2 linked regions of the Astyanax mexicanus genome follow. The protein of the gene in region 1 interacts with the protein of each later gene in a pairwise test. Links are inferred from orthologs where the notes say so. Each region holds a gene or a part of one and is shown in the gene's direction. Other genes may lie near its edges.

Region 1 (15,972 bases):
AACAAGACAATGAGGACAGACAAATACTGTCTAATAAATAGTATGGAACAGATACAAGATACAAAATATACATATTTATAAAATATAAAAAATATTATATTGTGTTTAATATCCAGGTGCTTGTTGGTGGGTTAATTAGCCACGATGATTAAAATATCATATTGATGAAGTATTTGTCCAGGACAGTCTTTGATAGTCAGGTGAGCGACGTCTTTGGAAAACACTGCAGAATTCTTCTTTGTGAGGAAATCTGCAAGAGGTTAAAAAACAGTCTACAATTACACACCTAAACTATTCACAATAAAAAAATATATATATATAAATCATATACTCCCAGAAAATAATTGTGATACTATAATATTTTAACAATTTACATTTAATTTTTTAAGAACATTTGTTTAAAATATGTGTAAATCTTCAAAAAATAAACAATGGGCAACACTGAGGTCAGAAGAAATTTGTTTAATTTAATTTATGTCCATATTATCGATAAATTAATACATTGGTTTTTTAAAAGTTTTATAACACTCCATTTTTCCTTTATTTTTGCCATTGTAAGCTCTTTAAGTCTAGTTAATAACTAGGAATGGTAATCCAGTCTATAATATTTTTTCAGTAAACTGCCAGTACCTTTTAAGGAAAATTTTAGTATTGTTAAAAATATTTTATTGTAAAAAATAGTGATTTTTAGCAAATAATGAATTGATTTACAGCTGGTACCAAAGGAAATAAACTGAGCTTTTAGGGTATATATATTTCCAGAATTCGAGCTTCTTCATGCTTTAACTCACTGTCTTTTTTGACGAAGCTCCTGGTCGATGTCCTGGAGGGACTTGCCTTTGGTCTCTGGCAGCAGGAAATAGATGAAAGCAACAGCTGCCACTGCAATCACTCCATAAATAAAGAAGGTTCCAGAAAGGCCAATCGCATCTGAGAACCAATTAGGTAGAAACAACAATGACAGCATACATTAATATAAATTTTACTGCTCCTCCATATATACTGCAACAAATACAAACAATGGCTTAAATCAGAATGTCCATACTTACCGATAACGCTGAGGAACGAGAAGGATACGATCAGGTTTGCCGCCCAGTTAAAAAAGTTTGTGAATGCAAAAGCTCTTCCCCTCAATTCAGCTGGGAATATCTCACTGAGGATCAGCCAGGTCACTGTAAATTAGACAGACGTTCATCAGATATAGCACAGTGAGAGCTAGCCAGACTAAAGTACAGCTTTCAAACATGGTGGAGGTAGTTTTATCTAAACTCAGTGAGAGCTAGCCAGACTAAAGTACAGCTTTCAAACATGGTGGAGGTAGCTTTTTCTACAACTCACAGTGAGAGCTAGCCAGACTAACAAGCATTGTAAAGGTAGTTTCATCTACAACTCCAACCAGTAGTGTTAGAAAGGGATAAGTTGGGGGTGTGATCATCATTCAACACCCAAACCCCAATGCTCTTTTTTGCTAAATGCAATCAAATCCTCACAGCAATGCTCCAAAAAATCTGGTAAATAATTGGATTAGAACCTGTTCAAACGTTTGTAGACACCTGCTCATCCAGTGTTTCTACTCAAATCAAAATAATTAAAAGAGTAACATGTTACTGCTCCAGCATCCACTTTCCTAGAAAGCAGGGCTGGACTGGTAATCTGGCGCACCGGGCAAATGCCCGGTGGGCCGACAGTCCTTAGGGGCCGATGCTGATTTTTTTCTTCTTTTTTTTCTAAGAGACCGGCCCACAAGTTAGAGGGGCGGCCCATTGGCTCATCTTCAATATAGACAGTGGACTAAACCAATCAGGATATAGGAAAAAAAAACGGCCACACCCTCTCTCTGCGTGGTTCAGCTCTGAGCACATTTTATTATGAAGTTGATAATGGTAAAACTATAGAGAATGTCCTGTTTGTAGCCTGATACAAATACATGTTATAGCTGTTTAAAGGAGGAAAAATTAGAATTAAACTGTTGTATCAGAGAATTAAAAAAAATACATATTAGAGATGATTTCAATAAAAAGGATAAAGAATCAATTGAACTACACAGAGCAGACAAAAATGGTGGAGTTCATAATAGACAATAAACTTCTTATATTTGATATGCTGATGATACATTATGCGTCTCTGTAACCCCACATACATAAATTACAAGTCGGTTGTGCTCCACTAATTATTAGGGGCCGGTCTAAACCAAAAATGCCAGGGCCGATGTTTTGTCCCAGTCCAGCCCTGGTAGAAAAGCTCTACAGCAGATGTTGGAACATTGCTTTAAAGATTTGCTTGCATTATTCGTTAATTATTGTAAAACTTAATGTTTATAGAAGGAGATTACCACTTACTTGGTCCAAAGCTCACAGAGAAGGCAGCAACAACTGACATCATGCAGATCAGAATAAGCCAGTTGTAGCTCCCCATAGCTGGAGGCATGTCTAAAAGTCCAGCATCAGTGGTGTGATTGCTAATCTTCATCAAATCCAGTTCCATGGGTTTTTTGTGGACTTGCATTGTGTTGTTGAAACAAGGCTCAGAGCTACAGTGTCTTGTAGCATCCAACAGCGAGTTCCTGCTCAAGAACCCGATAAGAATTAAACCCAAGGCCATTAATGAGCAACCGCCGATCAGCAGCGGCCTTCGTCCAGCCTTGTCTGCACAGAGCATTGCCACAAATGTTGCGACGACTTTGACGATTCCGAGGCCAAGCGAGGCCAAAATGGCTGAAGCGTTGTTTTTAAATCCCATGGACTGAAAGATGGTGGAAGCGTAAAACAGCACGTTTGGTTGACCCGTGAACTGCTGAAACAGCACGAGTCCGAGTCCAATTAGTGTCCTTGAGCGCAAGTTATCTTTACGCTGAAACAGATGAAAGATTGTAAACCGCTTGTGGTCCTTCAGAACCTGGTTTGAAGAAGGTTCTTCTTCTGGACAGTCACTCATGTTCTGACTGTCTGGTACAAGCTGGACTAGACCTTGGTTCTGCGATGGAAGAACCCAAACCGAAACCAGCTGAGCGAGGCACGGTGCCACGGCTAACCCGAACATGTACCTCCACCCTTCCAGAACACCAGCCAACACATAGTTGACTGCATAAGCCACCAGGATCCCAACGGTGACGCCAGCTTCGTACAGGGTGACCATCAGACCCCTGCGGTGCGACGGAACCATCTCAGACACGAAGATGCAGCAGGACATGGACGATATGCAAATTGCAAAGCCCACCGAGAGCCGACCCACGACCAGCATCAGGAAGGAGTTGCTGGAGCTGAGAATCAAGCTGCCACAGAGGAGCAAAAGGTTGCTGACCAAGATTGAGGTCCTTCTGCCGTGGCGGTCAATCAGCCAACCGCCAACCAGGGACGCAAAGACTGCGCCAATAAGGAGAGCGCTGACCACCGTCTCCTGCTGGACGCAGGTCAGGTGGAATTGGGCTTTGAGCTGCATCAGGGCTCCAGAGATGATCCCAAGCTCGTAGCCAAAGACCAGGCCCCCGAGTGTGGACACCGTAGTGGGAAGCACCACAATTGGGCAGCCTAGTAAAAGAGAGAAGGTTTTGGTTTTAGTACATTCTCTGAAGGTTACATTTGGAATTTTAAAAAAAATAACGCGGGCAAAGTAAAAGTGTTTTTTGTGCTTCTACTATTAGACTGTGTTCAGACTTGAATCAGATTTTTTGGAAATCTAGACTTGAAGGTCTGGACAACAAAAACACATTTGGAGAGGATTTAAATACGATTATAATATAAATAAAATATGATTTGTACACCATGACCTCATCATATACACAGTGATGGAAGTGTGGGAGTCCAAAAAGAGCACCAAAGTTTAGTTCCTGACGTCAACCTCCACACACCAGCAATGCACACAGATACAATTGTGATATCTGGACAGGCAAATCCGATCTGATCACTCACAAATAACAGTGTGGACATTAGAGGTGGGCGATAAGGGCATAAAACAATATATAATTTCATGGTATTTTCGCGATAACGATACTCTTAGTGATATGACAAAACATTAAATAAAAAAAAATATTTCAAGAATACACTACTGCAACAAAATAAAAATTAAATTCTATTATTGCATTATTGCAAATGTTATATTACAACATTTGGCACATCCCTAGTGGACATCCAGCCTAACAGATCTGATCTAAGAAACAAATCTCATTTAGCCGAATCTGAACACATACTAGGATAAAGACAAAAATAACAAGTAAAATTAATGATTAATATTGGTAAAAGTTGTTTGCATACAACTGTAAATAAGCGTGAACAAAATATTTTTGATATACGGATTTCTCTGTTCCATTGGAATAATACAATTTTACAGTAAAAACATATTTTGTGAAAACCCATTACATCTGACTCTTTTATATCAGACAAATATAAACTGAGTAAATATAAAAAGCACTTTTTAAATGATAATTTCATTTATTAAAGGAAAAAAACTATTCAAACCTGTGTGAAAAAGTGTTTGCCCCCTAAAACTAATAACTTAGTTTTGTCACCCTTGGCGGCAACAACTGCAGTTAAGTTTTACTCATGACTGGCTATGAGTCTTTCACGTCTCTGTGGAGGAATTCTGTTTCACTCTTCTCTACAGAATTGTTTTAATTCAGCCACATTGGAGGATGTTCCAGCATGATCATCCTGTTTAAGATCATATCACAGCATCTCAGACTTTGACCAGGCTGCTCCAAAACCTTCATTTATTTTTTTTAAAGCCATTCAGAGGTGAACTTGTTTGTGTGCTTTGGATCATTGTCCTGCTGCAGAACCCAAGTACATCTGAGCTTTAGGTCACAAACACATGGCCGCACATTTTCCTTCAGGATTGTCTGGTAAACAGCAGAATTCCTGCTTCCATCTATTGCAGCAAGTTGTCCAAACCCTGAAACAGCAAAGCAGCTCCAGACCATCACACTACCACCACCATGTTTTACATTCAGTATGATGTTCTTTTTCTGAAATTATGTGATAGTTTTACAACAGATGTAAAGAGACACACACCTTCCAAAAAGCTCCACTTTTGGCACATCAGTACAAAGAATATTTACCCAAAGTTCTGGGGATCATCAAGATGTTTGTTGGTAAATGTGTAAATTGTTTTTGGTCAGCAGTGTTTTTTGCCTTGAAATCCTCCTATAGAGACCATTTTTTAACGGTCTCTTTCTTATTATTGAATCATTAAAATTGACCTTAACTGAGGCATGTGAGAACTGCAGTTCTTTAAATGGTGTTCTGGGTTGTTTTGGGACCTCCTGGATGAGTTCATGATGCCCTTTTGGAATAATTGTGGTCGTTTGGTTTCTCTTGGGAAGGTTCACCAGTGTTTCATGTTTTCTCAATTAGTGAATATTAGCTCTCACTGTGGTTTGCTGGAGTCTCAAAGCTATAGAAATTACTTTGTAACCTGTTCCAGACTGATAGATGATCAATGACTTTGTTTTCTCATCTGTTTTTGAGTTTCTTCAGATTGGAGCATTATGTGTTGATTTTTGCGATCTTTTATCTGCTTCATGTCGTCAGACAGGTTCTATTCAAGTGATTTCCTGGTTCTACAGGTCTGGCAGTAATCAGGCCTGGTTGTGGTTAGTATTTAAATTAAACTCAGCTTTCCAAAAAGTGTGATTAATCACAGTTAATTTATGGGGGGGGGGGGGGGGGGGCAAACACTTTTTCACATAGGGCCAGACTGGTTTGGATTGATATTTTTCCTTAATAAATCATAATGTAAAAAGTGCTTTTTATATTTACTCAGGTTATATATGTCTGATATTAAAGTTAGTTTTATAATCTGTATATAAGTATGACAAAAATACAAAATAAAAAGAAATCTGTAAGGTAGCAAATACTTTTTCACGCCACTGTAGTTTGCCAGGTTAAGATATTATACCTTGCCAGACATGGTTTCTTCTTTTATTTGATCTTGTTTGGTTAGATTATGATTAGGTCAGCCTAAGGTACGTCTGGAGGTGTAGAAGAACAGCTAATTCAGATAACTGTTCATTCAGGTCAACATTTCTCAATGCAGTGTTTTTTATTAGCAGAGTTCCACTTATTTGGTTCAATGTCATGCTAATTTAGGTAATTTAAGTTACCCTTATGCAGACTTTTCAAAATCAATATACAGTTTCTCTGATTTTGTTTATGGGTATATGTTTGAGTAAAATGAACATTGTTGTTTTATTCTATAAATTCCAAATAAAAATATTGTCATTTAGAACATTTATTTGCAGGGAATGAAAATGGGCTGAAATAACAAAAAGATGCAGAGCTTTCAGACCTCAAATAATGCAAAGAAAACCAGTTCATATTCATTAAATTTTAGAAAAAGTTCAGAAATAAATATTTGGTGGAATAACCCTGTTATTTAATTAGAGTTTTCATGCATCTTGGCATGTTCTCCTCCATCAGTCTTACACTCTGCTTTTGGATAACTTTATGCCACTCCTGGTGCAAAAACAAGTTCAGTTCAGCTTGGTTTAATGGCTTGTGATTATCCATCTTCCTCTTGATTATATTCCAGATGTTTTCAATTGGGTAAAAACAAATAAACTCATACTTTTTAAGTGGTCTTTATTTTTTTCAGAGCTGTATATGAGGATAAAATGTCTCAGTAACTGTGATATAATATCTAAACGTTTGATACATCAGTATACACAATTTGCACAATCACACATAAAGAAGTGCCCATCTTACCCATTTTGCTGTCCTTTATGGAACTTCAGAGCTGCTTCATGGTCCAATAATGCACAATTTGTATGTTTTCTCCTCAGCTGAGCACCAGGTCTGGAAAATGAAGCACAGCTGTATCAGCAGATCCTCAGAATCCTTAGATGGTACATAAAAATGTGCGTTACTGCTGTGTTTAGAGTGTAAATGTGTTCCCCGCTCACCCCAAACCTCTCTGAAGCTCCTCTCCAGCCGCAGGATCCTTAGTGCAGCCCTGTGGGCATGGCAACCGACTCGTTGATGCCCGTCGATTGTGATAAGCCCCACTCGAGGTTGCCAGTCCATGGCCTAATCATCCATAAATAAACCTCCTCAGAAGACCTGCCCCTCCACTGCGGCTGCTGAGATTTACAAACTTTAAGCACTGAATTCATTTTAGTTGGTAATAATCTGATTTAAATTGAAGCATGCATCTGAACAGTGGCTAAATACCAAGCAATTGTGGTCAATCAATCTGGAACATGTTACAGAGTTTAAGGGCTGAGATGAGCTTTAAATCTGCATTTTGAACATTTTAATTAAATTGACCTGACTTTTTATAAACCTGAAATATTTCAAAGCATAATTCATAAATTTTAATTTTAAATGTTTTTCTGTGTTTTTAACTTGTAAGGTGGTGGAATTTTCTCCTAATATATGCTAAAACAATGAAAAACCATCATAAAAAAACAAGATTTAAAAATTCTGATCCATCAAATCTAACTGATGTTTTCACCTTTGACCTAAATTAATATTTCTATTTTAAATAATTGTTTTAATTAATGATTTTAATTCATGGATCTGAGTTTTTTTTATTCCTATTTTCGTAAATGTATTTATTCCACAGGTATTTTTTTTCCATAATTCAAGTTTAAGAAGTCTGTTGATAAGTAATTTATGTTTATCAATAGTCAGGTGAATTTAATTAAATTTTTTAAATTACAGATTTATCCATGGAATAGTCACAACATAAATTTAATTCAACATTTTTTGCCTTAGGTAATAATAGGTAAAAGACTGAACATTTCTATGAAACAATTACATTTCTTAAAATGTTGTAGGTAATTTTATTTCTGCACTGCATTTTATGACAATTCCTATCATTTTTACTATCTCAATATTTCAGTTAAGAAAACTTTTGCAATATCAGATTGCAGATCAGATTTTATTATTATTATCATGCAGTCCATATTCTGAAGACCTGGTCTGTCAGACTGAAATATTATTATATATCATTATTAAAACCTACCAAGCAATAAAAGCTCTCAGAACCATCCTTCTACCTGCTGTCTTACTCTATGTCTAGCAAGCTTCTGGTTAAATACAACCATGTTTCTAAATGACATGAGCCCAAAACAGCATTACAGGAGAAGAAATGTCTTTATAGCAGTGATTTACTAGTAGAATTAAATTTAAAGTGATCTATATAAACGTATCTAAAACTTTAACCTGACCTAGCTAACTTTAGGTAGGACAATACTGAGTGCTTCACGAAGCCCCTCTCCCCACCTAACTCTTTAAGCTACATTGTAATATAATAAAAAGTTATTTAAAAACTATTCATCTGTACTCTACTTAGCACATTACTTTATTACCTTGTTTTAAGACATCCCTCAATGTTCCTGAACCTTTTTCTCCACATTTAAAGTTTCCACAAACAAGCTCAGCTACGTGGCAGAAACTCCAAATACCGTTGTGTTTTTTTACGCACCCGTTCACTCACAAGCCACGCCCTCCTCTTAAGATTGTCTGCGAAGGATTGGACAATCTTATTTCTGGAGGGCGGGGCGTGTCAGAATACGGGTGGTTTAAAAACAACGTTGGCTCTTAAAAAAAAGCGAATAAACAAACAAATCAGCAAAATAATGAACAATATAATTAAAAAATAAATAAACAAGCAAGATTATTTATTTTTATTTAATTATAGTGAAATACGTTTTACATTTACCTGATTTATACAGTTAAATGTAATAAATCAGATTTATTTGTCTGTCTTTATACTATTACCTACTAAATATGGGAAATAATTCTGATAAGCTCTTAAATTAGTTTAATTCAGATTAACGTTACTGTTAAAAAGTATACAGAACATTTTTCGTAAATCGAGCATTTAGTTTAAAGAAGGTCTTTTATTTTGAACTCAAGCAGTTCACACGCTTATCTTGTACACACAAGCGAGCAGTTTATATTTAGTTTACTTTGGAGGAATGTTGGTACACAGTTGGTAGTCATTAAAATTAATTATTGGTTTCATTTCAAACGAAGTACTAGGCAAAACATAGAACCGTATATGTTACTTTTAACTAGTGTCATTTTAACGTCACTATTAGATAAAAGAAGCTTATTTTGACATTTTTTTCCCCATTGTGTGCTGTAATTTGTGTCAGTCCAATAAAAATGGAGCACCAAGGAAATACTTTATTAAACTAAGGAATTTGTTAACCTGGGGGAAAGATTTATTAAACTGAAAAAAGGATTTAAAAAAAAACTAACTAACTAAATAAATAAATAAATACATTTATTAAATTGAGAGAAAAAAGTTATTAAACTGGAAGAATTATTTATTAAATTAAAGGAAGGGTTTGTGTGTCTATTTATCTACCCTGGAATTTTTACGAGCTCGGTATATAATAAAGAAATTAAATTAGAATGTGAGATATTTCAGAGATTTTGTTAATCATTCAATCCCAAATATAGTACCAGGTTTGAACACAGTGTTTTTTAAATTGTAGATTAATAAATTCATCATTTAATAAAGTCACCAAACTACACATAAAAAACAAATGGAATTATTTCGTAAATAAAGATGTAAAACAAAAACAAATCAGAATATGTTTTTTTATTTTATTTCATCTTGGTATTTTCTCAGTCAGTTTTATGAGGTAGAGTCACCTGGAATCGCTTTCAGTTAACAGCTGTGCCTCATCAAGAGTTAATGACCTGTATTTCTTGTCCTCTTAATGTGTATGAGAGCAACAATTGTAAAGTTGTGAAGAGGTAGAGTTGGTATACAGTCCTACAGCCCTATCTGAGTAATGTTCTAATCCATATTATGACAAGAACTACTCAACTAAGTAAAGATTAAGATGACATTATTATATTACTGGCTCTCAGCAGGACGGACCCAGGAAAGGAATCAAAAGAGTTACCTCTGTTCTTCAGTATAAGTTAATAAGAGTTACCAGCCTCAGAAACCACAAGTTAACAGCACCCCAGATAAGAGACAATATATTATTTTGGTTTGTTTAACACTTTAAAGTTTACTACATGATTTTTTTACATAGTCTGGATGATGTCAGTATTCATTTACAATGTAGAACAATTATTAAATAAAACACAGAACGAGAAGCTGTGTCTAAAATTTTTACTTGTACATCCCACCGAAAGAAAGTCAAACACCGCTGTAGGACTTTTATTTTGAAACTAACAGGAGTTGGTTCTCGGATGGAGCAGAAGCATGGCGGGTATGGATGGTGGTAGTGGCGGCGCTGTCGCTCCGCCGAGTTTACCCGGAGCTCAGCTGCTGAAACAGGGCGCGGAGGCCCGGGTTTACCGCGGCCGGTTCTTGGGGAAGTCCACCATCGTTAAGGAGCGGTTTCCGAAGCGGTACCGACACCCGGTCCTGGATGAGAAGCTGACAAAGCGCAGAACCGCACAGGAGGTCCGGTCCATACTGCGCTGCAGGAAAGCGGGTCAGTACCCAACACTACTCACTCACTCACTGACTCACCTCACTCATTCACTGTGTCACTTATTTACTGACCCACTAGAAATATCTACTCAAAAAATACAATCCGTTGGTGGCAGTCTTATCGATCTCAGATATTATTTTGTGGAGTTTTTTAACACAAAAAATGAATGGGATTTCCTGTAGACAAAATTTGACGATTTTTAAAAAATCCACAGTAGGTGCCACAGGTCCGAAACTCCATTAGGCTAAATGGTCCTCCCTCTAGTGTTTTTTTTTTAATATTAAGTAACGGCGACTCCACCCCCTTCAGATTCCTTAATTACCTGGGTGCAGTGTGGTCCTCCGACAGCCCAGGTGGCAGCAGTGGTTGCCACTTCTGTGATCTTGGTACTAACTTTTTCCAAAATTGATATTAGAGTGCCCCCAAAATCACCAAAGCATAATTTGACCCTAAATAGCATGTTTTCACCAAGTGTCTCGGAACGGCCGAAAGTTGGTACATGCCCGCCTTTTATCATGAAAGTGTGTTGGATAGCGAAAGTTTTTTTTTTTTTTTTTTTTTTTTTTTTTTCTCTTCTCTTCGTTCTCAACCATAGGTCTGACTGGCACCAAACTTGTTCCGGTGGGTTGCCTCACTGAGCCGCACCAAATGATCGAACGGTTTTGTGTTTAACCCTTCGCTCTCTGAGAAAAATACACTTAACTGTATCTGCTTAGGTGATGGTTTTTCATCCAAAATTTTTATTTTAGTTGGTGCAACTCGCTGTCCTGAAAGCATTGGTACAAGTTTCTTGGAGATTGGATTTACAGTTCGGCAAAAACCAGCAAAATGACACTTCGGTATCCGACACCTTGGCCCTAAACAACACTTTGGGACCCAAAGTGTCATCGAAGTCCCAGAGTGTTATCAGAAAGCACCAATGAGTTTTAAGTACTGTTTAAAGTGGCACAACAAACGATCAATAATAATTTATTTATTTATTTTAAACAGTTTAAAAGTGCAATATTAAACATAAAAAAACAAAAGAAATGTTAGAAATACTGTTTATAGTGGCATTTAAAAACACACCATAATTGTTTTATTATTATTATTATTATATTTAAAAAGAAATTAGAATCAATTTTAAACCAAATTGAATGGAAACACTGGGCAATTTGCAAAAGTTACAAGTAAAACTTGGCAGAGGGGCCCACCTCAGACTCTGTCGTTTCAATTTGTTCGTCTTTGCTTGAAAATGAAAGTTGCTGGGGAGTTATGGACAGGGGTAACAGCCTCCATTTTGTAGTGTTCGTTTGAGAATTAAAGTTGCTGGGTGGCTCGGTTGGGAGTAGTGGACAGGGGTAACAGCCTCCATGTTTTCGTCCTCACTTGACAAGGAAAGTGGCCGGGGGGTTACGGGGGAGGCGTAGGCAAGGCTAGCCTGGATCGCCGAAGTCCCTGGTGTCTGGAGAAGCTGCGTCTCGTCTTCATGTAATACTGGATCCTGTCTCGCCACTTCGTCACCCTAAAAAACACAATCAAGCAAACAAATAAACCAACCAAATTAGAGCATTAAATAACCTCAATAAATTACTGTTCCTGTAAAACAGAACTGTGAAAATAATGACTTACAACATGGCACTGTGGGGCCTTGAATGAGTCTGAGGAGGACTCGTCAAACAGGCACCTCTTGGCCTTTGGGAAGGACGATTCAGAATCAAAACAGGATAGTTAAATATGAACTTTGATATCACCTTTGAAGGTGTGGTTATCTCCAATCAAACCCATCACACCCTTCACCATACTTCCTCATAAACAATCAGAACACTAAATATGTACTTACATGATGAACAAGGGAGGTCCGGATGTTATGGAAGGTGTAACGCCTTTCGAAGCCCACTCAAGACCACTGCTGACCTGTAAATTAACAACAAAAAAAAATAATTTTGCTAATAACCAATGAACAACCTGTTGACCCCTGATCATCATAACCACACTCACTTCAATGATCATGTTTTCCCCGTCGACTTTGGCGTCCAGCACTTCTTGAACGAACTTATTCTGAGGTACGCCACGCCGGTGATCTGAAATGCAGATGAAATAACCCGCCAACCTGACCAATCTGACCTTTCATTCCTGAGATATGATTGGTGAAATCTGGCCCCATAGAAATGAATTGGAATCCCAAACAGTCAGATGAGGTCATGCGCCCCCTATCTATCCCTGCAATACCCAACGCTTTCCGACTAACATTTCTACTATCCTAACGCTTTCTGACAAACACTTCTACTATCCTGACGCTTTCCGACTAAAACTTCTACTATCCTGACGCTTTCCGACTAAAACTTCTACTATCCTGACGCTTTCGGACAAGCACTTCTACTATCCTGACGCTTTCTGACAAACACTTCTACTATCCTGACGCTTTCCGACTAAAACTTCTACTATCCTGACGCTTTCGGACAAGCACTTCTACTATCCTGACACTTTCCGACTAACACTTCTACTATCCTGACGCTTTCTGACTATTAACTCTGCTATACATTTGAACTGGAACAGTTAGTGTCCATAGGCTGGGTATGTCAGCTAGGATTTGGGTATTCCAGCCTATGTTAAATTGGCCATTTTCGTGATATAAGCACTAACCCACTCACTTAGTGACCTACTCTCTCTCTGACCCACTCAGTCAGTCACTAACCCACCCACCCACCTACTCACTCACTCAGTCACTGACTCAGAATAAGCTTTTTTTTTAATAACAAGATTATTTATTAACACATACCATATATAAGGAATGATAATGCATGCACAACAAATCACACGTACATTTTTTAGGCCATTTACTCCCCTTTTCATATAAAATATATAGGCAGCCTTGAGTGTAGTACAGTACCACTTAAAAGTTTGGACACTTTTCTCAATGTTTTTTTTTTATTATTACTTTTTAAAATGTTTTTTTTTCTACATTGTAGATTAATGTTAAAGACATGAAAACAATTAAGTGACAGATGTGGAATTGCGTAGTAAACAAATAAAAAAAGTGTTTGTCCTTTAAAGTCCCCTTACCTAACTGAGACGGTGATTTGGGATTAACTGGAGGCTTTCCTTTTTGTAACCACACTCATGTGGATATCTGAGTATACTCCACCTTCACACATTTATGCTACACACTACATACATTGTGCATTGTACTCAAATACTAGTGAATAATAGTAATTAGTACACAATTGGTGTGCACCCTGGGGCAGCGTCCAGAAACCCCAAAAGTTTTTCTAATGATCCTCCTTTTTTCTGATTGGTAAATGTTTCATAAAAATGTCTTTTTTTTCTGCAGTGAGCTGGAGTTTAAACATTGGCTGGGCAGATTCGATTCAGAATTGATGTTCGATTCGTGCAGAGCTTTTTAACTGTACCGCGAAGCTTACCTACTGTCGCACGGAGCTCAAACTGTCCTGCGGAGCTTTTTAACAGTTAAAGAGCGCCGCAGGGGAGTTAAAGAGTTCTGCGGTACAGTTAAAAAGTGCCGCGCAACAGTAGCTTCACCCCAAAAAAAAGATTTTTTGAAAATGAGAATCGATTTTGAATCAGTCAGTGTTAGAAACAATATTGTGATTGGCTCAGTTCATCAGTAGTCTGCATAATAAAAAAGATCAGTTGTCCCATTGTCCTTGGTCTTGACTTGGGTTTAGTGCTCTTGCCTATGACACTACTATATAGTGTAAATAAAGAACAAAACAAGTGTTCACAAATGATTCAATATTATTTTTTTTTCTGTGTTTCTCTGTCTGCAGGTATCAGTGCTCCAGTGGTATATTTCGTTGACTACACCACTAACTGCATCTTCCTGGAGGAAATCACAGACTCCATCACCATCAGGGAGCACATCACCTCCACTCAAGCATCTGGACGAAGCACAGAGACGCTGTACGGCCTGGCCGACCGCATCGGACAGATCCTGGCCAAGATGCACGATGAGGACGTCGTCCACGGAGACCTCACCACCTCCAACATGCTGCTGGTGGGTGAAGAAGACGGAAAACCAGGCAAACTGGTTCTAATAGACTTTGGCTTGAGCTACATCTCTGCCCTGCCTGAGGATAAAGGGGTGGACATGTACGTCCTGGAGAAGGCGTTCCTCAGCACCCACCCAAACACCGAGGCTCTGTTCCAGAGACTTCTGAAGAGCTACATCGCTGCATCCAAAAAAGCTCCAGCTGTCATTAAAAAACTGGACGAAGTCAGACTGAGAGGACGAAAGAGGTCTATGGTTGGATAAGTTGGAAAAGTCTGTAATACCCCATCTTAATTTGAATTTTCATGGAAGATGATACCATACTTGGGCTGCACAATATCGATGAAAAATCAATATAAAATATAAAACCAAATATTTTATTTTTCTGCAATATATATATTGTGAAATTTGAAATAACTGGAATTGTCAGTGATCCAACATACTGTACAGTTATTATTGGAGTGAAAAAAATTATATTGAGCATGTAATCTGCCTTTGGTAGATTTTTTTTTTGTCATAAAATGTAAATATTGGTAACGATTTACAATAAGCTTCACAATTAACAGTTCTAATAAATAATTACTAAATTGTCATTCTTTAGAATTTTACTATTAAAAGTGAAATAAAATAGTCGTAACTAAATAATTAACTATGCATTATTTGTGACAATAATTAGTTAAAACATTCTGTGGTAACATACTGTTAATAAATATACCCTTATTGTTGCCAAAGTGAAAAATAAATAAAAACTCACTTATCCTATAATGTAAATATTGCACGTGTGCAGAACTCACTAACAAAGCTGAAATCACATTGTGCAGCCGTACACCACACCACATCTTGTACTGGTTTCTACTTCCATACCAATGTGCCTCTCTGGTTATTACTGATATCACAATAAAGTTGCTTTAAGTTGTAAATAAAAGTTTTTTTTAAACAAAAGTTTGATTCTGTGTGTGGTCTTCCAAACAGTGCATGTAAAACAATCTAACTCAAGTAAAAGAGCAGAAACTACTACAATACTGAGTACTGTATCACAATGTAAATAAAAATAAAAAAGCATAATCTGTACTAGAGTGACAATTTGACTACTGTAACGCAATCTAACTTAATTAAAAGGACAGAAACTGTACTATAGTGAAAGTATGATTACTGTATTACAATCTAACTCAACTAAAAAGAACAGAAACTACTACAGTAAAAATATGACTTCTGTTACAATCTATTTCAACTAAAAGAGCAAAAACTGTACTACAGTGGAAATGAGTACTATAGCACAATCTAACTCAGGGGTGTCCAATCTACGGCCCGTGGGCCATTTGCGGCCTGTTTCCTTTTTTTAGTAATAGGATGAAAGTTGGCCCGCTGTTAAGCAGGTTTTTATAATGAGATTCAAAGTTTGAACGCTAGGTGTCAGAAACGAGCCAAAGAGTCTAAAAGCGGCGAGAGTGCGCAGTTCGAGCGCAGGAAAACCGGCCAAAGAGTTTAAAAGCGGGGAGAGTGCACAGCTCTAGCGCAGAAAAATGGGCCAAAGAGTCTAAAAGCGGAGAGAGTGCGCATTTCTAGCGCAAAAAGCGGC
Region 2 (16,411 bases), on another chromosome or scaffold:
TCATCATCAGAGACTATACAAGCTGTGTGTGTGCATGAATTGCTCATCTGTTTCAGCAATGGGTGCTATTTGCTTGTTGTAACTCTTCTAAATTAAACCTTCTTTTAATCATTTTTCAACTCTGAAACTCAGGCAGCTTTACTTACATTTTAAGCCAAACATGATTACTAAACCCATGTTACATTTAAAAAGAATGTTTTAAAGCAAGTGCACTAATTCCTTCTCTCAAGAAAGTCTTTTGTTTAAAGAAATGGTTGACTGCATGTTCAAATCATTGATATGTATGACTGTTAATGGCACTCATTCTGTTACTGGAACTCACTCTTGTTACTTTTTATGTTTTGAGTAACATAAATGAAAGTAACAGGAATGAGTTTTTAGCATAGAATTAGCAAAAACATTTAAAATAGCTAAATGGCGGCTATGCTAATAGCATGAGGACACTAAGTACATTCTAGTGATTTTTTCCAAAATTGGAAAATAATAAATTTGGGTAACAGGACAGAGTGTTGAGATTGACTTCCTTAGTCATAATTAAAATAAGATCAAATATACAGAAAAACAAATGAGGGAACTTAATTTCCCGTGGTCTTAATTCAACAGATCTTAATTCAATAATTCTTTAAACAAAATTAGGCAGGTGCATAAATTTGTGCACCCTTGTCATTTTATTGATTTGAACACCTTTAATACTAATTATTGGAACACAAAATTAGTTTGGTAAGTTTTTTGACCCTTGACATCCCGTTTTTTTATATATATAAATATATATATTTAAATATATTAGGCTTAGCAGTTATGGTTGTTCCAGCACACTGGAGAAGGGATAAAATACTGAGTTGATGGTACCACTCAGAAATGCTTCTGCTTTCAATTTAGAAACAAAATAATACGGACTGTCATTTTAATTTAATTACAAAACAACAGACAGAAGAATTTTTTGAAAGGAAAAAAAAAAAGCAGCACTGCCTAAATTTAAAATTCTTTCTTTATTGCATCAGAACAGTGGGTTTGCAAATGAACACTGACAATGGAGAACAAGGACCTTCACAAATACAAAGAGAATTCATATGAGTGAAAGGAAAAACATTCAGGTAAAGAAATTAAGACTAAACTGACTGACGTGTTTTATCTGTATCTAACAGGGTTTAAAGTTTAAAAGAACTGGCATCAGTATTTATGGCGATTCATCTTAAGGGTAAACAAGGCAGAACCAGTATAACTTGAAGAAAAAACAAACAACTTGTCGAATCACATTAAAAAGATGATGCTTGTGCTTGGTCCACGACAGGCGACTCAAATGGCAGTGAATAAAGACGAGGACACTTAAGGAATCATTTGAAAAAGACAACACAATTCAACTGTGTAGAACATTTAATATTAAAGACAAAAAAATCCATCCACCCCTTTTCTTATCTGCTTCTTAAAACATTAAGAGAACTAGAAGAAGCTCAGTATTCCCTGTCCTCATCAAACACCTAGTTATCAATTAAACAGTCCTTACTTTAAGTAAATCAAATGAGCTGCTGGTGGAAATTAATATAGGGCTGGTTTTCTGTGATTAACCTAGTCCTGGACTATACAGCACTTTGAATCTGTTTAGGAAACCAGCCCATAGTGATTAGCTGGATCAAGGCAGCCAACAATTCAATAGCCAACCAGTGCAGATGTATACTGCTATACAGTATTTTTAGAGGTGTAAACAAATTTATTGCTGAGATCAGCATTTTAACACAAACAGAACAATTTTAACTGCAACAGCTGTTTTCTGAACAGTACTGTAGTTAAGTAAGTGCCAAAAAAACCTTGTGTTTTCAAACATAGATATTAATGAACACATTATCCCATAATCCAGTGGTTCTCGGTTCTAGTTCTGGAGGGTTCTCTAGTCCTGATCTAACAGGCCCATTCACTTCTGGAAGGGTGACCTAATTAGTTCATTAGCTGCATCAGGTGACTTAGTAGAAAGAGAAATGTTGGCTTTGTTCAGACTGCTGGCACAAATCTGAGTTTTGGCATAACTAGACTGTATTTATATTGATTGTGATAGTCAGAAAAGCCAGAAACTGCATTTTTGCTACATTTGGAAGTAATTTGAAACTGATTTGTAAGTTTTGAAAGATTTGTCTTAGTCTGGATGCCTTTGTGTTCCTCACTACATGAGAAATAATCTTATTAAATACAATTACGTATTTTTCTATCATGGACAAGTTTTTTTTGGACCCTGCAGTCATGATCTATAGCCACGTTCAGCCAAATTATTAAGAACACCACAAGGCTGAGACATGAGTCTAATTCTAGTATTACTGATTATTTTCTCGTTTACTCACAGCCATTTTCCACTATACTTGTAGCCTATTTTTATGCCTTCAAAGTCGGATATGCACCGGATTTTAGTACCAAGCCACCCAAACGAAATACCTGTGTCACATTTGGCATAAAAGATCATATTTGGGCTGCATTTACCTTGTGTGTGACCATTGCCTTACTGATGTCAAACTCGTACAGATACACTTGTGATGTTCAGACAGGCAAATCTGATCTGAACAACTGCAATTAACATGTGGACAATCAATGGGGGTAGTAAATACTGAGTACTGAGTAGCAATATCAATACAAACTCTGATTAAATTACTTCAGAGTTTTTTTTTTTAGCATTATATTTTACAGTCCATAGTTTTATTTTGGGTACATGTAGTATTTTATATCTCAAAAAAGATATACAATTTTGAAAGAACAGCATTTAATGGTTGAGTAACTGCAAATTCGAAAACTTTCGGAGTTATAAAAAAATGTGTGTCAGTAACGGCTTCATAGTATCAGTGCTCTTTACTGATGAGAATGATATGGTGTGTGCAGTGCCAGTAACTGTACCAATACAAGTAGAGCATCAGTCAAATCGGAGCAACACTAATCTCAACTTATTTTTATCTGATTTAAGAAATAAAATCAAGTAAAGTACATTTGCCTGCAGTTTGAACACAGTTTAATATATGTGGTACTTCAGGACAAAGACTGAGAACAAAAGAAAACTGCTGTAATACATATTCAATGTCTCTTTTGGTTTTCGAATGTTCTTCTGCTGACATGATTCTGCAGTAGGAAGGTACCTGGTACCTGGTGAGAGCCGTGGGGAAAAAGGAAAAAAAAGGGAGTCATTTCTTTTTTTTCTTTTCCTGATCTTCAGTACCAAAAAAAAAAGAAAAAAGAAGTGAACTGATTACAGTGTTCAAATTTCACCACATGAATCTCTGCACTGCAGAGCTATCAGGCCAGTGAAATGTCTTGTAGATGAATATGTAGAGCGTGGCTGCGTTGACTGCTGTGTAGAGAGCAAATTCGAGCAGCAGTCTAGGAAGAGATGGAAGAGGGATGTGTACTCTGTAGAGGAGATACGGCAGGATGAAATAGCGGAATTCCAGCAGTTTCTGAGGAACTGTAGCTGCCAGTAAACATACAGAAAGTGCTAAGAGCCAAAACAGCGACTTGAACTTTAGAGTGTCGTAAAAGTTCCAGGCTGCAAACAAATAGCCAGGAACAAGGAGGAACCGGATCAAATGGTGCTTCTGGAAGATCCGCTTCCAGACATAGAAAGGAAAATGCCTGTTATCCGCCAGCAAGTACTTGTGGACGTAAGTGAACTTCCAGATCAGCAGCAAGAACAGAGCTGCCATCAGCAGAAACAAGAAGGGGTGCTTTCTCAGAGACTGTACGAACCTGACCAGCCTGTGGTAGCAAAGTGAGGCGGGAAGCGAGAAGACCAGCGTGAAGGAGAAGAAATAAAAAAGCTGAGGGAAGTTCAGACAAGCCTCGTGACTAGTCCTGTCCCCAACCACAATTCCATTATTCAGCACCACAAACGTAACGAAACCAGCACCGACTAAGCCATACGGCCATGCCACCAAGATCACCGTCTTCACATTGGCCGGTGTCGTAAAATAATACAACAAAAAATTCACTACCCTCCTCACGCCACTGACAGACAGTGGGACCTGAGAGGGGGTCTTCTCATCCCTCTTCTTTGACTGCTCCACCCGCCACGCCTCGTCCATCTTCTGAGCCACCACCGTGCTGGCGCAGAACGCAACCCAGATGACGTTGGTCTGTCGGAAAAGGATGGCGCAGATTCCCAGCAGGGCCGAGGCTTTGTGACACCCGTAGAGACACATGAGGTAGGCGAAGAGGGTGAAGAAGGTGGAGCCGGCGTCGGTGTAGTAGAGGAAGGTGAAGAAGTAGAGCACAGGGAAGGTGGACAGGGTCAGGGCTGAGAGAACTCTCCGAGCAGCCAAGCGGGACTAGAGAAGAAAGAGAAGATAAGCGACACTGTGGTGAGAACCTGAGAAGGCAGTGTAGGTAAATATACAGCTCTACAAAAAAAAATAAGAGACCACTTCAGTTTTGAATCAGTTTCTCTGATTTAGCTATTTACAGGTATATGTTTGAGTAAAATTAACATCGTTGTTTTATTCTATAAACTACACACAACATTTCTCCCAAATTCCAAATAAAAATATTGTCATGTAGAGCATTTATTTGCAGAAAATGAGAAATGGCTGAAATAACAAAAAATATCTTTCAGACCACAAATAATTGCAAAGAACCTTTAAGTTTAAACTCATAAATTTAAATGGTCCTTTATTTTTTTTTCTACCACAGGCTGGCCATGTTCTCTGGAATGATGGAGCTCCATCCAATACTCTTGGACTAAGTTTGTGATGTGAGGATGATGAGGTGGGGTGGAGTGGAGAGGAGATCATCCATCACCCTTACTCTACTAATTCTCTTGTTTGCTAATTGCAAACAAATCCTCACAGTAGTCACCCAAATCTAGTAAAGTCTTCCCTGAACAGAAGAGACAATTACTCCAGCAAAAGAAGGAAACTCCTCTGTTTTTTTTATATTATAAAGAAAAAAATCATCCCAATACTTTTGTCAAATGTAGTGTAGATTAATGATAAGTTAATATTATATATATTAAAACAGGTTAAATGGTTTGCACTGATAAAAGGGTCCTACACATAATGGAATATTAGTTCAAATATCAGCCATATCCAGACATATCTAAAAATACACAATAGCTAATATTATTGAGATAATTCAGGAAAATACGACAAAAATTAACACTTAATTATCACCTTGTCCTTAAAGTGTAGCCTGCAGATGATGAGATAGAGGATGTAGAGGTTCCCACAGTTAAACAGCAGGTTGATAAAGCGCAGCATGGCAGTGGAGCACACCACCGCCCCAGAGAAGTCTGCCAGCCATACCACTGGTTTAATCACTCCCACAGACAGCAGATACAGGCCAGGCAGTGTAGTGATCATGGGATCCCACTAACAAAATGAAAAGAAAATATACATTATATATTTACATTTATTTAAAATGCATTTATTACTTTATTACAGAATTAGAACAAAATGCAAATCATCGAAACTGAACCAAAGCTCGTCCTTAAATACTGTCTACACCCAAGTGATGCTCTGTATATACCTCCAAGCACAGATGCAGATTTCTGTTTTTCAGCAGAACATGGCAAACTGCCCACACTACCAAAAGTATCAATTGGTCTTATAAAATATTGAAATTTTCTGAGACACTGATACTTGCGTTTTCATTGTCTGTAAGCTAAAATCATCAACAATAAAATAAATTAACGCATAAATAGATCACTCTGTGTTATACATTCATTTCTCGTTTTGAACTGAATTACTGAAATAAAGTAACTTTTTAATGATATTCAATTTTTTTGTGATCAATTATTTATTTATTTTCATTGTTATCCACATTACCAGCAACAAGATATTCATTTTTTTTTAGATGCACTAGTATATGTACACCCATGTGATATCCTCTATACATCCATGTGATACCAAGAATTATGCTCTAAACAGAACTATGTGAAACCCCATGTACAATTGTTATGCTATGCACATGTGATGCCCTGGTATACACACAATTCTCAATATATGATGCTCTGTACACACTCGAGTGATGCTCTGTATATATGAAGTCCTGTAAACAACCAGGCGAAGCCCTGTGCATATAAAGCCACAGTGCATATACCATGTATACATGCATGCGATGATCCCTATATACAATGTGATGTCCTATATACATCCGTGATGCCCTGTATATGTGATATTCTGCATACACTCAACCAATGTCCTGTGTACTTCCACATAATGTCCTGTATACAGTACCAGTTAAAAGTTTGGACAGGCCTCATTCAATGTGTTCACTTCCTTTTTATTAATTTTTACATTGTAAATGTAATTTTGAAGACTATATTAAGGCTCTACAGGAACTGTGTGGAATTATTTTTGTAAATAAGAAATATGTTATGATATGTTTTACATTTAGCTTTGAGGACATATCTGCACACTCTTGGTATTTTAATCTCAGTGTCTTCATGAGGTTCATGAGTTTTCTTAGCATTGTGAATTAGTTCCTGGAGGTGCTGAACATTCATGTCTTTAATTTACACTTTACATTTGTACTCTGTGTATACACCCATATAAGATCAATACCTAGCTACACACCTATGTAGCTCTATGTAGTTATGAGTCTCTGTAAACACCCATATAAGACCAATATCTAGCTACACATCTATGTAGATAGCTGTAAGGCTCTCAACACACCCATATGATGCCTTTATATGTGGTTATATGTCAGATTAGATGCTCCAGCCTATGTGTGAGTCTGTCCTCACCTGGTTGAACTTGCCCTGGCAGTATTTCTGAGCCTGTGGGATGTGGAAGATCTCGTCCATATAAGGCTCTCTCTGCTCTCGGCTCACAGAGGAGAAGATTAAACACGATATGAAGAAGTTGACGCTGCACAGCGCCGTGAAGGCGTAGCACTCCGCCCGCTCTAACATCGCTTTTCTCTCTATTAACCGTCCTACAGCCTAATGTAAATTGCAGATTCGTTCCCCGGGGTTGTCTACCAATAATCCCGTTTAGTCATAACCCAATGAACTCTCCAGTTTTAGCGGGAAATATGTTTTTACCCGCCTGCATACTGCAGCGAGCCAGCGGAGAGCGGAGCGACGGTTACAACCTGACAGACGGAAACCTGAGCACGGGAGCAGACGTTCCGTATGGTTTACAGTTTATCTTTTACAACACAATTAAAAATTGTGATGTATGAGAATATAATATTTATGTATATAAATGATTTAATACCGATTACATCGCGTTTAAACGTATTAGACATAGCCAGCTAGCTACTTTGATACTCGGAACGTTAGTTATCAAGCTAGCGTAGCACAGTGCTGAGGGTGTTACAATATTATTGTCCTGGTCTCGTGCACTCGTGTAGTAAGCTAGGGTTAGCTAGCTGTAGTTTGGTTAGTTTAGTAAACCAGGAGTGTTTTTATTTTATTTAAGGCTGGAGATGCAGTTAACTCAGGATTTAGAGCTCTTCCCCGATCAGTCAGTCACTCAGCTGCTGTTCAGAGATGTGAAAAACTGCGCAGAGCTGAGAAAGATGGCAATGGAGGGACAGATACCCGGAGCTCTGATTAACCCCAGCATGGTAACGTTAAAGACAGTATAAAGACTATAATCACAGACTGTAATCCTGTATCTGTTTCTCTGTATAGACCACCACAGTATAATTTGGGTGGTGGTGTGTTAGTAGAGTGTGTTGTGCTGGTATGAGTGAGTGAATCAGATACAGCAGTGCTGCTGGAGTTTTTAAACACTGTGTAGGCTTATTAGACACCTACACGACAGTTGTGCTTAAAAGTGTTGTGAACCCTTATACAGTTTCTACATTTCTGCATAAGTATGACCAAAAACATCAGTCCTAAAAGTAGATGAAAAGAAAAATATATATTATACATATGAATTTGTTTATTTAGGGAAAATGATCAACTATTATATACAGCTCTGGAAAAAATTAAAGAGACAGTTCCTCTGATGATGCTGTTTATAGGTATATGTTTAAGTAAAATGAACATTGTTGTTTTATTTTCTTAATTACGAACAGCATTTCTCCCAAATTCCAAATTAAGAAAATGAGAAATGGCTGAAATGACAAAAAAGACAAATTAACTGCTCGCTTCAGTTTCTTTCACAACATTTCTTTTGGATTAAGATCAGGACTTTGAATTGGCTATTCCAAAAGATTAACTTTATTCCTCTCGAAATATTCTTTAATAAAACAACTTGTGTGCTTAGGATTCAGTTCATGGACAGAAGTCCTGAAATTTTCCTTTAGAATTATTCGATATAATTTAGAATTCATTGTTCCATCAATGATGTAGCAAAACAGGCCCAAACCATGATGCTACCACTACCACGTTTCACAGATTGGATAAGGTTCTTATGCTGGAATGCAGTGTTTTCCTTTCTTTAACCATTTAACCTTGCATTTAAACTTACAAACATCAATATTAGCCAATGTGAGAGAGGCCTTCAGTTGCTTAGAAGTTACCCTGGGGTCCTTTGTGGGGTCCATTACATGCTTTGCTCTTGGAGTGATCTTTGTTGGTGGACCAGTGTTGGGAAGGGTAAGAATGGTCTTGAATTTCCTCCGTTTGTACACAGTCCAAACTCTTTAGAGATCCCTGCCTGATGAGAAATCTCCTTTTTTGGGCCATGATGCACTTTCACAAACATGTGTTGTGATGTGCAGACTTAGATAGAGCCCTGTTCTTTAAACAAAAGAGTGCCCACTTACACCTGATTGTCATTGCATTGATTAAAAACACCTGACTCTTAATTTTACCTTCGAAATAACTGCTAACCCTAGAGGTTCACAAACATTTGCCACTGACAAATATGTAATATTGTACGGTGGCCGAGAAAGCCCAACGCAGTGCAAATTGAAAAGCGCTGCAAAAGCACAAAACACATCCATCAAAATTACAACACAGGCGCAGCAAATAGATAAACGCGCTGCAAATACAAACACAACGGAAGTGAGTCACAACACAACGGAATTTTCCTGGGGGACCTTAAAAGATGCTGTACCAGCTAAGCTGCGTCTTCAGTAACGTCTCGGACTTCACTATGTGTACAAAGGACAATAAGTGGCAAACAAGGCGTTTTGTGAAGCAGAACTTTTAATAATATGCACACAACCGTGGTAATCACAGGTAATAAACAAACTTACTTTTCAGAAGCTTGTTTGCCACTTATTGTCCTTTGTATACAGCTGGTACAGCATCTTTTAAGGTCCCCCGGGAAAATTCTGTTGTGTTGTGACTCACTTCCGTTGTGTTGTGGTTGTATTTGCAGCGCGTTTTTCTTTTTGCAGCGCGTTTTTCTATTTGCTGCGCCTGTGTTGTAATTTTGATGGATGTGTTTTGTGCTTTTGCAGCGCTTTTCAATTTGCACTGCGCTGGGCTTTCTCGGCCACCGTAAATATTGGATCATTTTGCTCAATAAATAAATGACAAAGTACGATACAGTGGACAATGAGCGTAAAAACAAGGCGGAGTAATAATATTAAAATTCTGACTAGACTGTAGTTGAAAGTGTATCTCTCTCTGTTTCCTCTACTTCCAAAGGTTGTGGACCTGTTCCAGACTCTGGTAGCAGCAAATAAGGCAGTTCATTTACAGAAGGTTGGGAAAATGAAGACGAGGAGTTTGTACTCTGAGATCATCTTTAGTCTCTCACCCACCAACAACGTGAGTTTTTCCGTTAACATAAATCATAAAGCACTGTGATTACTATGATTATTAATGTGATTATTAATATTTTTTACAGATCTCTGAGGCATTTAGGAGGTTTGGAGTCTCAGACAGTGACAGCGCCGTCCTTGTTGTCCTCGTTCATAATAAAGAGGACATTTTCAATAAGGATGATGTCACGTCTAAGGTGGATGGCCAGCAGATTCCAGCTGATCAGATTTCCACTCTCAGTGATATGGCCAAGATTAAAAAGGTTTGTCTTTGTGTGATTCCAGTGTTCATATATAGGGTGAGTAGTGTAACAGATATGGTGGCATCAAAATGTTTTGACACTAAATATGTTTGACATATTTTGTTTTTCAGTTAGATTGAAACTGAATGCTATTAGACATAGACAAATAGTTTTAACTGTTTCATTAAAAACAGTTAAATTGATGACTATATGTAATCCCAAGTCAATTTAATTCCAAGTCATTCTGGAGCATTTCTATTGATCCAACAGTCTTGAAATTTTGAAACAATGTAAAGAACAACTACCAGATGTACACTCTTTCCAAACATAAATGTCAGTCAAATGTAGAATTAAATATATTTTGCAGGACAACGTCAATGTAGTTCCCTTTTAAAAATTATTAATAGGTTTTTTAAAGTTTTTTTCCACCATTAGAGTAGTTCCCTGCAGGACTTTAACTAGTCACATACAATAATATAAATGTGGTCATATCACCATTCTACCATTACATAAATCTGTTTCTGTTCTCTGACTGAGATATTAAAGTGTATGCTTTTGTTTTTGTCCTTTCAGCTTTACAAAGTCACCCCGCAGGAGGAGAAGTGTGGAACTGTTCTGGATGCTGTTGTTCTCAGAATGGCCGCTAAGGAAGTTGTATAGCTTAGGGGACACTAACAGGACACACACTCTTTAAAAAGGGAGAGAAAGGTCTTCTGGAGGGATACCACAGATTAATTATTTTGGGTTTCTTAAAAAATATATATATATTCAGAAAGATTCTCTAAAAAAGCAAAAGTGGTTCTTCTGTCATCACCTGGATAAACTTTTTGCCTTCTTAGTTTTTAATTTATTTGTTTGTGTTTAAATATCTACAGTACCTTTTAAAAATAAATCTGATTATAAGCAGTTGGCTTGTTTTTTTCTGTACCATTCTTTACCAGTTTCTTGATTCAACTATATGGATGTGCATGTCTTTATAAATATAGTTCGATTTTAAACTGCCTGCAATTATATTACAGCAAGTAAAAACATATATTTTTGGCCAATTTCAGATGTGTTTTATGAATAAATTTTACATCGTTCCTTTTTTGTATGGGTACCCACTGTAGCACAAACAACTTTCTACTGCAAAGAGGTTCTAAATACAACTCAGTCTACATCAAATTTCCGAGTATTAATACAGTAGCTACAACTTGTAGCTTTTATATGTATCTCTGGTTAAACAGCCCTCATCTTTCTGCTCCATTCATTTTTAATGAGAGGAGAAGTAGATCTCCTGCTGAGTGGCGGCTACATCTGTCGCTCATCACAGCAGCTCTCACACAAAGGTCAGATAATTTATGCTACATCTTTATTTTCTATAGCAGCATTTTCACAGGAGTGACTTGAATTACGAGCATACTGTATTTCTGCCTTAAAGGTCTCATATTTTTCATTCATTTTAAAATGTCTAGTTGAGGTCTCTAGTATGAATGAATGCCCTGGGACCTGTTTTTTATGAAAAAAAAAATGATGCTTTGGTGATCCGGTATAACGCTGCTTTAGTCCAGTGGAGGAGTGGGTTAGAAGAAACGATAGAATTTAGGCTTTTGCTCATGAATATTTATACCTATACTATAATTAATATCATATAAATCACATTTTAGGATGATGCATTAATGCATGTTTTAAACTCCTATCTCAGTCAGGGAAATTGGTGAGCTCATCTTTCCCAATGTTTCCTCCACTCAGAATGACCACCACAGTTTTGCCGGTGATGTTGGGTATTCTGCCGTTAATGACAGCAGCAAAAGCAGCAGAACCTGATGGTTCTACTACCAGACCAGCTCTGTAGAGTGTGGACACAGCAGACTTGATTTCCTCATCTGTTACCAGCACTATCTCCTCCACGTACTTCTGACACAGTGCAAACGGTAGAGCACCTGAAACATAAAACACACAACCCACACACCTTGTAAGTGAAGGTTTAATGACCTCATAAACATAAATTTGTTTCACATAAATTAAAGTGATGGTTCAGCTCAAAAATCTATTTTACACATCCCTCCCCATTACCACAAACACATTGAACTGAACCTTAAAAACATAAGTGAATTAGCTGAAATTGATTAATTATGGTATATATATATATATATATATAATGCTTAATTTGTTATAGTTCATATAACATGGAATCGAAAAGGCCTTCCTATTCTCAGACACCTGACTAAGGAGAGATTTGGTAATGATACAGTTAGACAGTCACTCCACCCCAGCTTTAGAGATATGGAGGCACGTACACTTCTGAACCCATAAAAGAACAGATTTTCTCAAAACAGTGTTTTTGTATGCCACTCCAGGGTGCCACAACTGCACAAATATTTCACAATATGGAAAAAATAAAAGAATTAAGGCTTGATCCAACAATGTTTTACCTGCAAAGGGAGGTGCAAGACCAGAAGCGATGCTTTTGCTGTCCATGCCGACAGGTTTGTTCTCAATGAAGCTTTTGTACATTGTGCATGCTGTTAAAAGTAAAAGGTTAAACAATGAACTAAAACAATAATACACTAATATAAACACAAATGTCTTCAATAAGTAGGAACATAAAACAGCTATCCATGATTTTTTTCATATTTATTTTAGTAATGCAATTATTTTAGCTATTTGATTAGCATTATATTGCTTAATTTGCAAACGTGACTTTCAGTGCTACATGATGATTCATTTTGCTACACTTTTGAATATATAATGTAATTATAATGTATTTTAATACAATATATGTATACCAACCAATAAGCACAACTGCATTAAATTCAGCAAAACTGTATTAAAATCTGTACCTACTACATATATCATTGCTGTCATGCAAAAACGTTGTATCTCCATCATTTCTTAATGAATTAAGTTTTCATGATGAATGGACCAATAGAAATGCTTCAAAATCAATTTTAATAAAAGTTTATACTGATTGCAATAGAAAGTTACAATGTTTTTTTTGTTTCCATTTTTAAAAAATATGAGATTTTTGGACAGGAAATAATTAAATTCTTTACCTCCTTCTGGCTCCACTCCATAGATTTTTGTTTCATCACATCCTGACAATTTAATGGCAGCGGCCACTCCAGCCAGTAACCCCCCTCCACCACAGCACACCACCACTATATCAGGATTAGGAACCACCTCCAGAACCTCAAAGCCTAGACTGCAGTAAATTGTTAAATACCAGAAAAGACTGTAACAATAAATAGTATTTTAACGTTTAGTAGAAAAGTCTAACATCAATGTTTATATTAACATTTATCAATAATGGTGATGGTGATAATATGTGGTTACTATGGTGTTGCTAAGTGGTTGCTGAGGGGTTGCTCTGGTATATAGTGCATAAAGTATATGCTTGTCATAACTATTATAATATAACTTAAGTGTTCATAAATGAAAGATTGAGATATTCATAATTTTAGATATTAGATGTGTAAATACAGATGAGAAAATACTGCTAATACAATAGAAACGTATGATTATGATCAAGAAAATAATGAGTAGGGTAATAATGAGTATTTGTGTACCTGGCGTGTCCTGTTATGAGATCTGGATCATTGAAAGAATGCATGAAGGTCATGTTTTCCTCTTGAACACAGTGATTGACTACATCCAAGAGACGTGGCGTCGGCACTCGCTCAACTTCTATACCAAAACTCTGTAGGTTCAGAGTTAGCTCTAATTAGTTGTATGAATATTAAATTCCAAACTACGGTTGGGCGGTATTCGCTTTTTCATACTGTGTCAAAACATTACCACTGTATAGGGTATTACTGAGGGCAGGGAAGCCTTGTGTTTACTTGATATGAAATTAAGTTTAAAAGAAGATAAGATTAATATAACAGAAAAACAGTTAAAATTAAGGTGGTTAGATATTAAACTTTTAAAATGATTTAGTGACATTAGTAAGCTGAGTTTTAGAGTGTCCTGTAAACTTACACAGTTAGATGAAAATGATAGAGAGACTGGATAGACAGAATACAGAAAATAAGGGTTTTGTAGCTTGTTGAGGTCTGTAGCTCACTTGCTAAGCTAGCTAGCCTTTGATTTGAACAGAGCACATTGTGTTTTTTCCCCGTTTTTTTGTTAAGAGAACAATGTCAAATGTGTCCACCTGTGGCCATATTAAATACACTTGAATGAATGAGCTGTTATGGCCTGTATTAGTGAGACACAGAGACGGTTTTCTGGCACGTCAGGCAGGTTATATTTGTGAAATAAATGTATCTTATTAAAATGTTTTAATACCGTGCTGAAGGTTTTTGCCGATGTGGCACCCAACCGGACATTCCGGACATTATTCTGTAATCAGACTGTGTTCTTACCTGTATTAGCAGGGATCTGGAGATGGGGGCGGTTTCAGGCATCACCACTTTGCCTTTGGTTCCGTAGTGTTTAGAGGCAAAGGCAAATGATTTTCCATAGTTCCCTGCTGACATTGTGACAAAATGACCTCCTTTGGCTTTTCGAGCAAACTGATTTGCTACACCTCTGATTTTAAATGAACCTGTTGGTGAAATAAAGGAAAAATATAGTGAAAAATAAACGTATAATATTATATATTTTAATGCAATATGATTTACCATCCTCGTTCATCAGGCAGGATCAAACAAGGGCCACACTACACTGAAACTGTGATATGCTGCTAAATACCCTGATTTAATTCTGTTAAAGTCTGACAATGCGTTATAATTTAATCCTTTTTTTAGCTTACAACATAGAATTGGTGCTGAATCCAAAACTGAATAGAATACATATTAAATAAAGTAGAACTTTACAATACAACAATTGGTGTTTTCTTAACAAAATAAAAACATATATATATTTTTATAATCAACTAAAACTACAACAGAATTATGGTATCCAATAAAACATTACAATACAAATATATAATAGAATAGAATTTTTCAATATAAATATATTTAAAGCATACAATGCTTGAATATAATAGTGTTATAAAGGAAAAATGTTATAGCCATTGTTTTTTATAAAATAATAAAATCTTTTTATTTGGAATAAAACAGAACTTTACAATTCCACTTTATAATAGAACATTGGAGTTAAATAGTACAACAAAATATTTTTATCAAATAGAATATAACAGTAAAATAAAGCTTTATAGAAGGTTAATTTTTTTACTTTTCCTGTGAAAATGTGTAATCTACAGACCTGTCCTCTGCATGTTCTCCAGCTTCAGGTGGATGCTGCAGGACTCGTGGAGAGGCAGTGTGGTCTGAGCCCACGGGATCATGGGGGTGTTGATCACCTCCAGAGGGCTGGACATCACCGTCTCCCGTGCTTCCTTCAGCACCTGAAGAGTGATACTGTCTGCTGTGGTGTTCTCCATCTTACTGAGAGAGGAGGAGAATTCCAGTTAGAGATCACTCAGATGTGGATTAATGTTTTCACTATGGTCTGCCAAAATATAATGATATTTTAAAAAATAGTTACGACAGGAGTATAGAACACTGCTGCAAGAAATCACTATTCCGTACACAAAGAATTGGTGAAGTACCATATGTCAGTTGGGATTTTGGCAGTGTGCCAAGTCCTGTTGGAAAATAAAATCTGCATTTCCATAACAATTGTCAGCAGAGGGAAGCATGAACTGCTGTAAGATTTTCAGAGAAAACACTGTACTGACTTTGGACTTGACACAGTGGACCAACACCAGCAGATGACATGTCTCTCTAAACCATCACTGATTGTGGAAACTTCACACTAGACCTCAAGCAGTTTGGACTGTGTGTCTCTCCACTCTTCCTCCAGACTCTGCTCCCTTGATTTCCAAATGAAATGTACAATTTACGGATAACTGATGCACTAGTATTGGCCTTGAGACTCACTTTCTCACACATTTTCTCCATCAAACTGTCAGTATTAAATGAACTTTAGTTCTCAAATAAAAAGGTTAGGGTTAGGCTAAATCAGGACTAAAGTTTCACTGTTCACAGGTTACAGTGCTAAATGAATGTGGTTCTGTTCCAGGTCTGCTTAACTAACAGTACATTATTTCTTGTAATAATTATGCTCTAATATATTCATTTGAACACGGAAAATGTGTCATGTTAATTCGGATACATTTCAGCACGGACCTTCTATGTCTATACTGTTATGTTTGCACTATAATACCATACCTGTCAAGTTTTAGATTTGAAAATAAGGGATATTTTCCTCTGGCCGCTTAAAGTCATCCCACCAGCCCAACGAAGGTTCAGTATCCTTTACATTTTAAGACAGGTTTACAAAAAATGTGAACCACTTATAAACTACAGTTAGATCATCAGAATCTGAAATTCCTACATATGTCATTCTTTTAATACAGCCAAATTAAAAAACATTTTCTAGATATTTAAAAAAAGTTAAGACTTCATGTCTTTTTTGCCATGAATGCACTCTTTTCTATTATGTATTTTTTATTTATTTAATAGATTTAAAATTGAACAAAGGGTGCACAAATTCTGCAAAATGTCTGTAGGTGACCTAAAAATAGTATTATGAGCTTTTACTAAAAG

Evidence for each region.
Region 2: the proteins of tp53rk (region 1) and tprkb interact in binary tests that used the Homo sapiens proteins (3 or more experiments, as listed by UniProt). The link is inferred for Astyanax mexicanus from reciprocal best matches to the Homo sapiens genes TP53RK and TPRKB.

Annotation. Positions count from the first base shown.
Region 1 is NC_064431.1:14,939,940-14,955,911, reverse strand, and holds tp53rk (EKC/KEOPS complex subunit TP53RK), read left to right. Parts: upstream 1-10,080; 5' UTR 10,081-10,167; coding exon 10,168-10,402; intron 10,403-14,172; coding exon 14,173-14,657; 3' UTR 14,658-15,335; downstream 15,336-15,972. Other genes in the region: slc2a10 (solute carrier family 2, facilitated glucose transporter member 10), read right to left, coding at 157-250, 792-930, 1,050-1,172, 2,340-3,527, 6,699-6,702.
Region 2 is NC_064409.1:18,909,118-18,925,528, reverse strand, and holds tprkb (EKC/KEOPS complex subunit TPRKB), read left to right. Parts: upstream 1-7,938; 5' UTR 7,939-8,338; coding exon 8,339-8,515; intron 8,516-9,517; coding exon 9,518-9,640; intron 9,641-9,719; coding exon 9,720-9,896; intron 9,897-10,448; coding exon 10,449-10,535; 3' UTR 10,536-10,781; downstream 10,782-16,411. Other genes in the region: alg10 (dol-P-Glc:Glc(2)Man(9)GlcNAc(2)-PP-Dol alpha-1,2-glucosyltransferase), read right to left, coding at 3,237-4,295, 5,136-5,333, 6,710-6,877; srr (L-threonine ammonia-lyase), read right to left, coding at 11,556-11,797, 12,290-12,379, 12,911-13,059, 13,424-13,554, 14,222-14,403, 15,066-15,243. UniProt on the Homo sapiens protein: Component of the EKC/KEOPS complex that is required for the formation of a threonylcarbamoyl group on adenosine at position 37 (t(6)A37) in tRNAs that read codons beginning with adenine.